Linked DNA regions of Cricetulus griseus. The protein of the gene in region 1 purifies or fractionates together with the protein of each later gene. This does not show direct contact. Links are inferred from orthologs where the notes say so. Each region holds a gene or a part of one and is shown in the gene's direction. Other genes may lie near its edges.

Region 1 (3,216 bases):
CACGGTAGAGAAGTTGTATGCAGCTGGCGCCGGAGTGTTGGTGGCTGAGCGAGGGGGCCACACCGCTCTGCACTTGGCCTGCCGGGTGAGGGCACACACGTGCGCATGCGCGCTGCTCCAGCCCCGCCCCAGACGCCCAAGGGATGTCTCAGATACCTACCTCACTCAGAGCCAGGACAATACCACAGACACCGGCCCCACCCCTGTTGCTGTGAACCCTCAACCCAACCCAGAGATCGAAGAGGATCCGAGTGATGAAGACTGGAAGCTGCAGCTAGAAGCTGAAAACTATGAGGGTGAGGGCCCTGGGCCCTGGGAAGGACGAGAGCCCCTGGCCAGAGTCAGGGAAACAAACCACCTGCTCTTCTTACCCAACTTGAAACACAGCCGCTGGCATAGAGCCCTGGGTTTGATTCCCAGCATAACCTAGCATGGTGGTGCCCTTGGGAAGTGAAAGCAAGAGGATCAGGAGTTCAAGGTTGTCTTTGGTGCTTTGTAGTTTGAAGCCAATCTAGGTTCAGGAGACCCTGTCCCATCTCAGGGTATGGCCGTGTGCAGCTGTGATCCCAGCACTTGGGTGACAAAAGCCAGGAGCAGAAACATCATGAGATCATGTTAGATGCATAGTGAGCCCCTGTTTCAAAAAGAACCCCAAAGCAAAATCATCCCTAGGCTCCAGGAATCCCAGCACTGGGACTAAGGACCTCCACTCAGCCTGGGAGTGTGAAGAATTGGACAGACAGGGCTTCTCTTTCCCAGATCTGGTCATCAAACTACTTGCAGCCCAGACCTGCCACCCACAGAGCCAGAAATGCCAGGATACAGTGGTTGAGCCTAGGCTACCCATCTGCAAGGTGCCTTTGTTCCAGAACTGTTCCCAAGTATAAGCCACTAGCCCAGCCTGTCCAGGATGGGAGGACCCATCTCATGCTCCGAGCCATGGGCAGATGGTGCAGAGCTTACCCTCCTCAGTCAGGCCTCCTGGGAAAAGAACTAAGGTCATCTGGTAGCCAGTGTCCCAGGTCTTTTGTGCAACTCCTTTTGTTATTGTGCTTTGTTTTGTTTTGTTTTATTTATGATGCTGGGGATGGAATTTAAGAGCTGTTCATGCTCGTCAAGCCCCTGTTCTTTGTGAAGGAAGACCAAAGACTTGATCCTGTTGGTCCACAGACTATGTGCCCAGACTCATCCCTTGTAGATCCCAGATACTGTACCACTCAGGCTTACACCCACCAGCATGCTGACACCCAAGACTTAGGCATCTGGAATTCGGGAGCCAGCCCCCAAACCTGGTATCTTTAGCTCACGTGGCCTTTCCCTAGGGTTGTGACAGAGCTGAGGCGCCTTAGTTTATCTGACACTGGTTGCTCTGTCCCCAGGCCACACCCCACTCCATGTAGCTGTCATCCACAAAGATGCAGAGATGGTCCGGCTGCTCAGGGATGCTGGAGCTGACCTCAATAAACCGGTGAGCCACTGTGGTGGGCCAGTGTGTGAAGGCACCCTCCCGTCTTTGGTTGGTCTCCCTGACTGATCTGGCATATCCCACAGGAGCCCACGTGTGGCCGGACCCCTCTGCACCTGGCGGTAGAAGCCCAGGCAGCCAACGTACTGGAGCTTCTTCTGAAGGCTGGTGCTGACCCTACCGCCCGCATGTATGGGGGCCGCACCCCACTTGGCAGTGCTCTGCTCCGGCCCAATCCCATCCTTGCCCGCCTCCTCCGTGCACATGGAGCCCCTGAACCTGAGGATGAGGATGATAAGCTCGGCCCTTGCAGCAGCAGCAGCAGCGATAGTGACAGTGACGGCAGAGATGAGGGCGTGAGTGAGGAGTGGGCGTCCCCACGGGAGGGGTCAGGGCAAACCGTGGCGGATGCTCCCAGGGACTTAGACAAGGGACACGTGAGATGAGGAGAAACTTATAGACTTGGGCAAGGGTGGCGGTGGTGGCTGAAGAGCTAAGGCAATCTGTCCTGGTGGCACACACCATTAGTCTTGAATCTCAGTATTCAGGAGGCAGAGGCAGGTGGATGTCTGTGAGTTTAAGGCCAAAGAACAAAGACGAGCCAAGTTAGACTTCCTCCAGAGGTGGTCACGAACACAGGTAGGGAGGGTCTGAGCATCGGAGGTGACTTTGGGAGCAGGATTGCCGAACTTAGGCTGTAGGTAGGTGACCTTGGTCAGAGTGGCCAGAACACTGATGGTAGAGAAAGACCTCAGGCAGCGGTGCAGGGAGCATTACTGAAGAACCCAGACAACGGCACACCCCTGTGTAGGGGTTGGTATAGCATGAAGAGGGTTGAGGGTGGGTGAAGGCAGAGGGGAGACGGGAGAGAGCCACTGTAAGGCTGGACCACAGGGGTAATGGGGGAAGGTGGTCTTGAGAACCAGGACCTCCAGCGTGAGAGGAGGTGCACTGAGTGGGAACCATATCGGAGGGGCAAGGGGACACAGGCGTCAGAGGGAGACCCCATTAAGTGCCGTGCCCTGGGCAGTGGGCAAGGTGGCAGCTACCTGACCCCTGTGTTATCCCTCTCTGTCCCCAGGATGAATATGACGACATTGTGGTCCACAGTGGCAGGAGCCAAAACTGGCTACCTCCCTCCCCGGCACCCAAACCTCTTCCTGATGACTCCAACCCCGCCTGACTTAATTTCTAATATTAATATAATTTCCATTTAATAAAGCTTCAGACCTGAAGCCAGAGCCCAGACTGATAGTGCCTTCCTGCTTATTTCAGGTCCCATTCCTCCAAAGCTGTGTGAGCCGTGGGGTTTGCTTTGTGCTTTATTCACTCAGAGGGATGGAGGGGTGGGGTGGGGTAGGGTGGGGTGGGGTGGGGTCCTGAGTCGTCTGAACTCCACCCCTGCCCCATTCAGACTTCTCTCGGCCTTGGTTCCCAGGTGCACTCTTGCTTCCCAGTCCCTGCCAGATGGAATGGGGGCTCTGAGGTCAACAGCCCTGGGCCTTAGGGAGTATAGGAAAGGAGAAGAGTGGAGTGGGGTCAGCCTTCCCTCGCAAGTGCCTCCCCCAGCATGGCGGTGGCCTTCTTTAGCTGCTCCTCCATGTGCTCTAGCCGGTCCACACCGTCTTCCTGGGGGAGATCAGAAACATGGTTACCACCTTGGTGGCCACTGTGACTCCAACCTGCTGCTTCATACACTGGTGGCTTGAAGTCCCTTCCTAGCTGTCCGTCATGGTCAGTGATGGCTACTG
Region 2 (4,085 bases), on another chromosome or scaffold:
GAAGACCATCAAGCTTGATGGCAAGTGTCTTTATCCACTGAGCTATCTTGCCAGCATTCTCATTGAACATTTATTGAAAATCTCCATTTGCACAGGACCTCCCAGGAGTTGGAGGTGCAGAAGTTAAAGGAAAGAAATAAATGTACTGGCTGGCGTGGTACATGTCTATAATCTCAGCACCGGGCAGAAGGATGAGGAGTTGATAGTCACCCTCAGGTGGGAATTTGAAGACAGACTGAGCCTAAAGAGAATAAGGGACCTCAGCCCCTTTCCCCTTCATACTTGGCCACCAAATGAGCAGTTTTGTTTTACTACACACTACTTCTTGGGAACTAGCTAGCAACTAACTAACTATCTAACTAACTAAATAAATAATTTAAAATGAAATGTGTTTCTAATTAGCTCCAAAATTAGTTATTAAGTTCCAATAAGCTTAGTGTGGAAAAGACTGACAGAAGAAGCTGATGAATAATTAGAGAATGAAGCCCTCTTTCATCTCTTTCCTTTTCCTTTCTGAAAACAATCAATTGAAAACACTTGGGTAGGATCAAAGAAAGTAACCTTCCAGTCAGAGTTGTGACAGCTAAAAGCAAAGCATAGTGTGTGTGTGTGTGTGTGTGTGTGTCAGAGTTGTGACAGCTAAAAGCAAAGCATAGTGTGTGAGTGTGTGTGTGTGTGTGTGTGTGTGTGTGTGTGTGTGTGTGTGTGTGAATGTGCTTGTGGAGACCATGTGTGTTCAGGTGACAAGGAGGCCAGAAAAGGAAATAGGATCTCCAGTTACCTGAGCTGGAGCTGCCCTGCCTAACAAGATTGTTGGGAACTGAACCCGAGGGAGAGCAACAAGTGCTCTTAACCACTGAGCCATCTCTCCAGCCTCAGGGAACACGCCTATCCTGGCACTCGCTCTGGAGACCAGGCTGGCCTCAAACCCACAGAGCCTCCTGCCTCTGCCTCCCGAGTGCCTCCACCAACGCACGGCCTGAGTATTCTAAATTTCAACTTGGCCTTATCAGGTCTTGGAAAGGTGAGAAGAAAGACAGTCCTCTACCTAGATGATGATAAGTCAGAGGCAGCTCCACGCGAAACCGAGGCTGAAGACGCTGTGTTTCGGCGTTTGGCTAAACCTTAGGGCGTAAGCGGGAGCACTAAGCCAATCAGGTACTGCACCTCGAAGAGGCCCTCCTACCAGGGGCGTGGCCACCGCGGAAAGAGCCAAGAGTGGTCCGGGACGAAGCTCCACCACGCTAGAGGCGTGGTTTCGCGTTTTGCGTGTTCTGGGCAGGTCTCAGAGTGTCACTTCCGGTGTATGCGTCCGCGTGTGAGCCGGAGAGCTCATGGCTACACTGGAGTCTTCCGGGCTGGACAGCCAGAGTAGAGACATGGAGACAGAGGTGCAACAGAGTGCAAGGTGGCTGTACTGTGGGGAGCCTGACGACAGGCAGAAAGCTGTGCTGGGTAAAGACTGCGGGACCGGAGCGGAGTTTCGCTCAGCCCTATCCCCTTCTATCTGGGTACCGCGTAGCCCTCCTGCCCACTGCCTGGAGCTGGGACAGAGCCTCCGCTATCCTCCCTTTCCTCTGTCGTGACTTCACATGCGAGGACACTTCTCAGGGCAGTGCCCAGGACTTGGAGATTTCACCAGGTCTCTCATTCGCCCATTTTCCCCTCCACGGAGCAGAGTTCCCTTTCTTCTGCTAGTTAATGACATTCCCTCCGTCATTTTCTGCACAGAGGCCACCCCCTCCCCATCTCCTTTTTTTTAGTACTGGACCAGGACTTCCTTCAGTCTCCCTAAAAGTGGGACATGAGCTCTCTTGCCTTCGCCCTGGGTTCCCAACCACAGTGTAGTTCTAAGCCACCCCACTCTGCTGGTCTTGCCCTCATCTCATTCTTGGGTTACACTTACAGTCCAATTCTCCAATGGGAAGCTGCAGAATCCAGGCAACATGCGCTTCACCTTGTACAACAGCAACGACTTGGTAAACCCCAGGCTGAAGAATCAGCGGATCCTGGTAAGGGCTGCAGGTACAGGTAGTCTGGGCTCTGCAGGGCTCAGAAGGCCCTTGGTGTGGGCAGATATGGGAGGGCCTGAGGGGAGAAAAGGAGGAAAGCAAATGGGACTGTGGCTTCACCAAGGTGCAAGATTTTGGGTGAAACGATGACTTTTCACATATTTGGGAAAAAGGATTTCTCCGTGTAGCTCTAGCTATACTGGAACTCACTGAGTAGACATAGCTGGCTGACCTCCAATTCAGAGATCCGCCTGCCCCTGCCTCCACAGTGCTGGGATTAAGGGTGTGGGCCACCACCGCCCAGTTTGAAGCTTTTTAATTTCATGCAATCCCAGGTGGCGCCCCCCCCCAGAACTTTATCACTTTGAAGCTTCCTTATGGTATTTGGGGTCCCCCAGAGACACCCTAGATTCCTGTAGATATGATGGGGTAGGTCACCTGGAGAATATCTAGGGCTGGTCATTTTGGTCCTGGATTCTAAGACTTCTATACACGTCAAAAGGAGGCCATGCCCAGTGCTGATTGTAAATTGGACACTCCTTTGTTTTTCAGGCAGCAGAAACAGACAGGCTGTCCTATGTTGGAAACAATTTTGGGACTGGCGCCCTCAAATGCAACACTCTTTGCAGGTAATGGACAACTGGGCAGTGACAAAGGTGCTAGGAGGGTTGTAGTAGTGACAGAGACAACACTATCTTCAGTCTTCATTTTGGAGGTAGTTGAGATCTGCAGGTTTGCTAAGACTTTGTGTTTCTAGACTCACAAATTCCATATACTGTTGTGTAGACACCCTTAGAAAGGAAAAGATGGCTTGCGTTTGTCGAGTTCCTAAAGACCTCATTATGACATTATGTATGACTGTCCTATCCCAAAAGACAGCTATGTCTGCTGATTTAGAATGTGTGATCATCAGGTCAAAGCTTGCCTCAAGTTTGCCTTGGGACAAGAGGATTTTGTATCTTCAAGGCCTCTGGGTTGGAACAAAGCAGCCCTCCAGCACTGTCAGAGTGAATGACTTTGGCAACTTTGCTCTTCGCTCACCTCTGGTGTCTTCTGTGTCACAGCATCATCCAGCCTGAAGAATTTATGCATGCCAAAATTCTGTTTAATTTTAGATTCTTATTACCTCAAAAGGGTTTCCATTAACAGCAGTGGCTTTAAATTTGTTTTGTTTTGTTTTGTTTTGTTTTGTTTTCTGAGACAGGGTTTCTCTGTGGCTTTGGAGGCTGTCTGGAACTAGCTCTTGTAGACCTGGCTGGTCTCGAACTCAAGAGATCCTCCTGCCTCTGCCTCCCAAGTGCTGGGACTTTAAATGTGATTGGTTATCAGAACCATCTGGTGGCTTTTTCAGTCCACAACCATTTTATGTCTCCTTCCTCTTCATCACCTACTGTTTCCTCTCCGTGCAGGGATTATTGTTACATGTGAGCAAGTGGATGCCTTTTTCTGGCAGAAAGAAGCTAGGGATATGTGAATAGGAAAAAGAGAGGATTGTGTAAATAATAACCTTTTGGTTAAACTACTATTGTATCATTACTTTTTTCCTCAGACACTTTGTGGGAATTCTGAATAAGACCTCTGGGCAGATGGAAGTATATGATGCTGAGTTGTTCAACATGCAGCCACTGTTTGCTGGTAGGTTCCGGAAATGAATACTCTGTTAAATGAATATTCAGTTAAATACATCGTTTGGGTTTGTTGGATTAGTTCATTTTTGTTTTCTAGAAGGCATTTGTAATTTTTTTCTAAATGGCTTCCTCCACATATACCTTTTTGAGAGAAGGTCTCATGTAGACCCTTGAATTTTCTGGGTAGCTGAAGATGACGTTGGATTTCTGGTCCTCCTGCCATCAACTTGAGAGTGCTGTGTATGGTGAGAGGTTTATATGGTAAAGGGGTGTGAACTCAGAACTTGGTGTCTATTTGGCAAACACAGCTTATCCTCAACCATAATAGGATGCCTTCTTGCCGAGTGTTCTCATTTTTCTTTTTTCTTTTTAATTTGAAAAGGTATATGGATATATAACCTTTTGTGGGGCGGGGCGGGGGGGGGGGGGGGTTGAGACAGGATTT

What was found.
Region 2: the proteins of Nfkbib (region 1) and Polr1e purify together in Homo sapiens (affinity purification with mass spectrometry; 3 studies listed by BioGRID and IntAct, counting the BioPlex papers as one, with this or other methods). This does not show direct contact. The link is inferred for Cricetulus griseus from reciprocal best matches to the Homo sapiens genes NFKBIB and POLR1E.

What each region holds. Positions count from the first base shown.
Region 1 is NC_048602.1:7,108,301-7,111,516, forward strand, and holds the end of Nfkbib (NF-kappa-B inhibitor beta), read left to right. Parts: coding exon 1-296; intron 297-1,379; coding exon 1,380-1,468; intron 1,469-1,551; coding exon 1,552-1,821; intron 1,822-2,546; coding exon 2,547-2,648; 3' UTR 2,649-2,713; downstream 2,714-3,216. Other genes in the region: Ccer2 (coiled-coil domain-containing glutamate-rich protein 2), read right to left, coding at 3,005-3,094. UniProt on the Homo sapiens protein: Inhibits NF-kappa-B by complexing with and trapping it in the cytoplasm.
Region 2 is NC_048595.1:98,430,430-98,434,514, reverse strand, and holds the start of Polr1e (DNA-directed RNA polymerase I subunit RPA49), read left to right. Parts: upstream 1-1,285; 5' UTR 1,286-1,334; coding exon 1,335-1,455; intron 1,456-1,908; coding exon 1,909-2,012; intron 2,013-2,564; coding exon 2,565-2,641; intron 2,642-3,561; coding exon 3,562-3,647; intron 3,648-4,085. UniProt on the Homo sapiens protein: Component of RNA polymerase I (Pol I), a DNA-dependent RNA polymerase which synthesizes ribosomal RNA precursors using the four ribonucleoside triphosphates as substrates.